Bombyx mori: one gene and its partner. The protein of the gene in region 1 purifies or fractionates together with the protein of each later gene. This does not show direct contact. Links are inferred from orthologs where the notes say so. Each region holds a gene or a part of one and is shown on either strand. Other genes may lie near its edges.

Region 1 (4,288 bases):
ATGCACATAACTTAAATGCACTTTGAGTGGAGTCAGTTGCTAATAATGTGAATGCACATTTACAATTTTGTAAAGTGAGTTTTTTAAATATGTAGTCAGCTATCTGACTCTACATTTTCATTGCTAAATATAAATAAGTTTCATTTTAACAATCAATTTTGTTTTGTTTCAAAGTGCATTTATGTTTTACGCATCAATATTATACTTAATATTTATATGTTTTTACTTTTTAATTCATCATTTCATCTTTCATATTACACATTATTAAAGTCCATTTGTAAACCATTTGTTCATAAAGTTAACTTCATTTTAATTTAGGACATTTCAGTAATAATTATAAAATCGATTAAAAATATCACTAGTAGCCAAATACTGGAACCTTATCAATATAATTTGAAACATAACAATTCCCAATATTATGGTATTTAAAATTACTTGGTAAAAATACAGTATTTGGCAGTACTTTTCTTAAAATCTAATTAAGTCTCATCCTCACAACACTCTTCTATTTCATCATAGTTCTTTTCACAATAAATAAGTTCTGACGTACATTTGTACGGATGGATTGATTGTTAACATCGATCATTCTTGACTGACGGATTGAGATCGTGGAAATACGCATGCGCCATTGCATCATCAGCTGGCATTCTTAAAGCTGGATTGCAGGTGAGCAGCCGAGCGAGTAGATCTCGACCTCTAGCCGGCAATCTTGGTACAACTTGGGCGAGGCCTAAACTTGGCTGATAAACAGGCAAAGGTTTGTAGTCCGGCAGTTGAGTTACTCCAGGCCATGTGTCCTCATTGGGTGTACCTGATAAGTAAACATAGTTTGATTGAAAAAGGATAACTGACAGATTAATACACCCATACAATACCAGTGACACACTTCCTATTTGTATGTCAATGAATAAGTCTTTGCAAATGGCACAATATTTACAATGCAAGAGCTTTGATGTAATTTTCCTAGACAAATCTATATATTTTTACTAAAAATATGTAAAAGTTAACTATTATTTTGTAACACTTCAGTACACTCTGTAGGCATTTTTATAAATACTATGTTTACCGTAAGTTTCTGAAATGCAGAAGAAGAAATCTTATGATGGCAGAAAATTATATTCATTTGCTAATTAAAGTATTTATGATATATATATAGAAGGGGTCTGCAATATGACTCAGCAAAAAAATTAAATAACAACACAAAATTTGAAACATGAGTCGACTATTATCAAAGGCGGCAATCTGACTTTTTGACAATGATTGGTAAATCAGAAAAACGAATTATTGACTTTGTATTCCATTGGCAGTCACAAAACTCTTCGGAACGACATCTTAGATAAATAACAGGTTAACTATTAACCTTTATTTAATGCAGGTTTTGAACCGTATTCTTTGAAGGAGACGATTATATTCAAATAAATCTGTATTGACATATCAATAAAAAAAATTTGTCCAAATGTACAGATTGCCACCTTTGATAATAGACGACTCACATGTTCAAACTTTAATGGTATAATATGTATTTTTTAGTTTAATATGGTACATGATGTCATGATTGACTATTTTAGTAAAAAAAATGATTTATTATTTAAATGCCGAAGTGTTCATCAATTACAATAAGTTATAGGAAAGGAAACACTATTCCTACTTAATGACATTGTTCGACCGTGAGTGTTGGGATTAACATTCTTATATTATTTTGTACTTGGAGGACTAGGCTAACAACTTTTGTCAGGCCGGTAATCTTTATGCCAACCCATAGATTGTTTCTAACTTTTTTATGCAGAATCTGCAATCTAATAGGGGGTTGACTAGAAAATAGTATGTGTGGAATTATCAGACAGCTGTTTACTAAGCCCCCAACAGAATAAAGTAGCAATGGTGATATGGTATATTGTAAGCCTACTCTCTAGTTTGTTGGGAGAGTTAAAATTCAATAAATTTATTTTACATATTGTTATAATCTGTCCGATCCTTTAAATAAGGCATCAATCAGACATAATCATAGTTCTTACTTTTGCATAATTATATGCAGTTAATGTTGGTATTAAGCTCAGAGACTCGGCCATTCAAATTTAATTTAAGATCTAAACCAGTTTTGTGATATGACTTTTTATTGTCACCAAGAGCCCTTATGTGGTTTTCAATATAAAATCATAATTAGGCTTCCTAAATTCAGAATAGAGTAATAAAACTTTGGAGATTTATTATGATGAACTCACCTAAAAGCTTAAAAATCCTCTTTAATTGATCATCAACATCTGAACCTGGGAATAGCGGTCTGCCCGAATTTGCAAGTTCTGCAAATATACATCCAGCAGACCACATATCAATGCTTGTTGTGTACAACTTAGCACCAAATAATACATCAGGAGGCCGGTACCATAAGGTTACAACTTCAGCGGAATAGCACTTTACTGGTATGCCAAAAGCTCTGGCCAGACCAAAATCAGCTAACTTTAATTCACCGTTCTTGTTTATTAAGAGATTCTGTGGCTTCAAGTCCCTATGGAGAACGTTGTGGCTGTGACAAAAAGCTAGTCCTCGAAGTAATTGATACATGAATGATTTCACAACATCTAGATCTATTTCTCCATTCAAACTATCGAAGTATTTTTTTAAGTCTTGATCACAATGTTCAAACACTAGGGTTAATTTCTTTTCGCTGTGCAATACATCGTAAAGTCGCACTATATTTTTATGCTTTAATTCTTTGAGAAGACATATTTCACGAAGAGCGGAAGATGGTACTCCTTCATCGTCGTCGTCTAATCTAACACGTTTGAGCGCTACGATTTCGTGTGTTTCTTTATTCTTGGCTTTAAATACCGTACCATAGGTTCCTTCACCGATTTTTTCAAGTTTCTCATATTTTTGCATATTTTTGAACTACAGATTTACTCACTTTAGTTCGATCGATTGTTTTTAATTTAGACTGACTTATATTAAGTGTATAATCTATGGACTGACTGATTTTTGAGTAGTTGTTCTATTTTTCCAACCGGACAGGCACAGGTATCTTACTATACAGCCTACGCTTTTGATATATATTTTTTGAATAATGATAATATGAAGTGAAATTAAATGAATTTGATTAATTTGGAACGTTAATCACTTGACATGAAATGAAATTAAATGAGATGAGATAGTATGGGGTGAAATATAATCTCAGTAAAAAGTTGATTGTTTACTGAGACTTTTTTGTGGACTTTTTGGAAGATCCCGAGAAGCTACGTCCAGCGACTTTGTTTTATTTTCCCATATTTGTGTACTTTTACAGATACTAAACAGTTAATAAGCCACGATTAATCACACACTACCACATTTAAACCTGAAGAAACACTAAATATACAGAATAAAACAATTCACACAACTTCACTCCTCGCATTCCTGCTAAAAAGTCCTCTGTCTTATTAGTACATACTACATGTTGGAGTTTGAATATGAAAGTAATGGCCGGCAACAGTTGACACATGTAAGGTTACAGTTTCGAATATTGGAATTATTTTAAAAGTCTAAAATAAATAATTGTGTTCTCGTCAGTGAAGACAACGACTTCTCATCTAGACACGGTCAGAGCAACATCTAAGAGTTTTATAAAAAATAAAACATTGTAATAATGTTATAGTGTACAAAGTGTTTGCAATATAATTATATTAACCATGAAGCAGAGTGTTTTTAAATAGCCCCTCATCAACCTACAGAACCCAATCCCCTCAAATTTCACCGTCCAACACTACATACAACTATCTTATAAATCTACATATTATTATGCATGTGAAGGGCCGTCAAACATTCATTCGCAAACTTAGCAGCTGTGCAAATGGGTTCGGTAGTCAATTCGCGAACCCGTTTGCGCTTCCTCCTACACTTGTTTACGAATGTCTCACGAATTTCTCCTCCTTTTTAATTCGTCAATAGACATTGAAGAGAAAAAGAGTTTTGAATTCTTTCCCAGACATCATTAACAGCCATGCTGTTTTTATGGGATTTCTTTTGATGAAGATACGTTACACAGTAGACGTCACGAACTATGAAAATGACGATACGTCCGTTACCTTCGTAATCGTCGGCGCAACTGGGCAAACGAATGTGTGGGAGACTACGCGAAGGCTCGCGGTTCGCGCGCTTTGATGTCTGTTAAAAAACCGACACAGCTTGGAAAACCACGAATGTAGCGAAAACTTTGCATAATCATTTGCAAATGTCGTCCTACACTTGCGGGTTTGCGTATTCGTGCGCATGTGAGTGACCGGTGTTATAAACGTGCAAGGAAATCATAGTATTA
Region 2 (3,658 bases), on another chromosome or scaffold:
ATCACTGATATTCTATCTACCTGACATTGGCAAAGTCATTCGTGAAAGAAGAGACTCGAGCCATTAAATAAATAAATAAATAAATATTTACTAACAATCACGCCACGTTAACTGGTCTCGTGATAAGTTCGTAAAGAACTTGTGTTACAGGTACCAGATAACGGAAATAAATGTAAGATTTTTATTATACACATACATATATTTAATATACATCCATAACCCTGGAAAATACATTTATATTTATCATACAAATATCTTCCCTTGGCGGGATTCGAACCCGCGACCCCCTTATGTAGTGACCATGTCACTTACCACTACACCAGACGGCCGTTTAAATTAAAAAAAAGCCTTGCATATATACAAGTTCCGAACAACAACATTTGGACCGGTCATCGTTCTCGTCGAACCTGTCGCTTGCGGTGAAGGGCTCGACGAGTAAATGAACCCTCAGACACAGATCTTCTCAATGGATCGCATTTCTGATCCGGTGGTAGATTCTGCGAAGCACGGCTCTTGCTAGAGTTCGTGTTAGCAACGTCGTCAGATTTGAGCCCCGTGAGTTCACCTACTTGTTAGGTTACGCTTGTCACCTACTTGTTAGGTTTAAAAAAAAAACGCTGACATACCCTCTCAAGCTAGCTTTAGGCCACGACGACTCGTTGACATTGTATTGAATTAATTAAGTATTGGAATATAACTCACAGAACGACAACAGTGATGGTCCACGCCCGATTGGTCCAGAAGCCACGTTGCCATATCGACGAGTAGCGATGGACGAATGATAATGAGATCACAACTGCAAACGAACACGATATTGTAGAGATTATAATATTCAAAACACGAACTCGAGTTTCGGATAAAATAAGAGATTTTATTAATCAAAAACACGTTTATAATCAACATTTTGGAGGACAAAAAAAACATATTCATCGTACTAACGATGTCCTTATTCTACAATGTACCTCACACTATTAAATGCCATTTATTAATTGCGTTAGAAAAAGTTGCGTGACTCCGGTGAAGATTAATGAAGTGAAACCCTTGAGGTTTAGGTTTAGGACCGCTATTTGAAAGAAAGAAGAAAGAAAAGAAAAAGCGCGTGTGTGTGTGTGCAAGTCACACACGGTAGAAGTGAAAATTATAAATAAGATATAGATATACTGACAATCCCACTACACAGGAGCATACATATGGACAATGTTTAGTAGACGATAGTGGGGATGCTACGAAGAGGCGGAACGTCTAATGTGTTCTATCTCATTCTCTCGCCGGCGGAATCCTATACATTTATGTGTTTGTGTCTCTATGGACTTATTTTTTCGTTTCATCTAGTTTGAAATCACAACGATTCTAAAGAAGTTTCACTTAAAAAAACCACTCACTTAAATGCAAAGTTATCAAAGCGAGCACGATATGTTGGGTCAAATAGAATCCGTCGTAGAAGTCGTCGCCCCAGCCGTGCCAGCTCCTCGCGGTGAGGTCGTGGCTGGGCGGGAACGCGCCCACGTTCACCGGGTACACGATCCAGCACGACGTCGCGTTGGTGGCGGCCGCGATCTGCTCGCAGAAGCTGCGCAGCGTCAGCCCGTACAGCACGAGGATGGAGACGGCGGCCGGCACGAACTTGCACGCGTAGCACCAGAACACGAACACCGCCATCTGTCGACAGCGGCGAGACAACGTGTCGTGTACTGAAGCCGTATCCAGTCGCCGGAGTGGGGCTCTGCTGCGCTAGGTGTGTTCACAAGCGAGACGAGTTCCGAGCTCTGTGTGCTTAGTGCGAGTTTTTTAACGTTCTCGATAGCGTAAAAGTTAACCCAAATTTGTATGGAATTGGAACAGCGCCCCTAGCGGCAAACGTATCCAAACGTTCCAACTGCATAAAACTAGTGGTGGTGGAGTCCGCACGGGTAGGTACCATCACCCCGCCTATTTCGGCCGTGAAGGGCGGGGCAGCCGTTGGAACTATACCGAGACCTTAGAACTTATATCTCAAGGTGGGTGGCGCATTTACGTTGTAGATGTCTCTGGGCCCCGGTAACCTCTTAGCTCGTCCACTCATCTAAGCAATAAATAAATAAAAGATTAGCGCAAGATGGAATGCGACAATCCATCACCATACCACATACGTGCTGGCGGGTATTTAGTTGCGTTGTGCGGTACCTTGAGGTTCAGCTGATGGTCTGGCCTGGTGGCGGCGCGCTGGGAGAGCGCGGGGTGCGGGGGGGCAAGGGCGAGCGCGCCCGCCACGTGCGGCACCGACACGAGCCCGCACCACGCCGCGCCACCCACGCTCAGCGCCAGCGGCAAGAACCCGCACAGGGAACCTGTCTAAATACCATCTATTCTCTGAGTTTACTGGCGGTAGGACCTCTTGTGAGTCAGCGCGGGCAGGTACCACCACCCTGCCTATTTTTGCCGTGAAGCATGCGTCTCGGTAATGCGTTTCGGTTTGAAGAGTGGGGCAGCTGTTGTAACTGTACTGAGACCTTAGAACTCATATCTCAAGCGCATTTACGTTGTAGATGTCTCTGCACTCCAGTAACCACTTAACACCAGGTGGGCTGTGAGCTCGTCCATCCATCTAAGTAATAAAAAAATACATGGGGGATAGAAATGGCATAACATGAAAACGCGTTATAAAGGTACTGCGTTATAGGGGGGATTACTGTAATTATAATTTTTTTTGACTACCAATACTTGTTGCGACAAATCACATTACATATAATACACATTACATAAAGCTCAAGACACTTCTATAAAGTATTTAGTCGAACACAGAAGTTGATCTAGTTAGTCTAGAAGTACAAACACACACTAACCTGTAACAGGGCTATGAAACAAACGCTACATATCCAGAACTGGGTGCAGTTCCACAGGCACGTCATGAAGTGACGCGACGTCGTTATTAATGTGAACAGTGACAGATCCGATTCCCGCGTCATCTAAGACACAAACGAATATTTTAATTCACAAGACCCCCTAGGTATATGATGAGCGCGAGGCCTCTCTCTACATCATCATTATCATCATCATCATCAGCCCACAGCCGTCCACTGATGGACATAGACCTCTCCCAATCTACACCACAGAGCCCGGTCTTCGGCTCTCCTGATCCACTTCTGCCGGTCACTGTTGGGAGGTCATCGCACCACCTAGCCAGGGGGCGTCCCACGTTACGTATTATATATTATATAGCAATATTTAATAGTCTATCTTAAAATTATTCTTATTTCTGAGTTCATTACAAGCAAATCGCCAAGCATAGGCCTAGCTAAATTTTACCAAAGTAAGCAAATACAATCATTTTTGAAAGCATTTTTAAAGTAAAATTTATAGCTTTTTTTTTTCAATACAACTCTGAAATAACCCTCGATTGAATTATAACCAATTAAAACTTTGTCGATTAAAAGTTTAGTTCAATCAAAACAATAATAACTAAATGGTATATTTATTTAGGCAAGTGAGTCAAAAGGATAAATATTATATTGGACCGTCTAAAAAACTTTCACTTTTTGTACTTACTCCTTTACAATAATTCGTCAAGGGTTGGTTACGCCACTTGTTTTGCAACTAATGGTAGGGCATAGCGGCATGCAAGACATATAATAAATTAGTAGAAACAGTATAAAAATATTATGCATAAACTATAAATAAC

Evidence for each region. Proteins that work in one complex are often made in the same cells at the same time.
Region 2: the proteins of cyclin dependent kinase 5 (region 1) and transmembrane protein 94 purify together in Homo sapiens (affinity purification with mass spectrometry; 5 studies listed by BioGRID and IntAct, with this or other methods). This does not show direct contact. The link is inferred for Bombyx mori from reciprocal best matches to the Homo sapiens genes CDK5 and TMEM94.

What each region holds. Positions count from the first base shown.
Region 1 is NC_085125.1:9,569,003-9,573,290, forward strand, and holds cyclin dependent kinase 5, read right to left. Parts: upstream 2,891-4,288; 5' UTR 2,881-2,890; coding exon 2,223-2,880; intron 812-2,222; coding exon 573-811; 3' UTR 529-572; downstream 1-528. UniProt on the Homo sapiens protein: Proline-directed serine/threonine-protein kinase essential for neuronal cell cycle arrest and differentiation and may be involved in apoptotic cell death in neuronal diseases by triggering abortive cell cycle re-entry. Interacts with D1 and D3-type G1 cyclins.
Region 2 is NC_085123.1:3,043,114-3,046,771, reverse strand, and holds part of transmembrane protein 94, read right to left. Parts: intron 2,946-3,658; coding exon 2,823-2,945; intron 2,332-2,822; coding exon 2,164-2,331; intron 1,660-2,163; coding exon 1,383-1,659; intron 797-1,382; coding exon 703-796; intron 1-702. UniProt on the Homo sapiens protein: Could function in the uptake of Mg(2+) from the cytosol into the endoplasmic reticulum and regulate intracellular Mg(2+) homeostasis.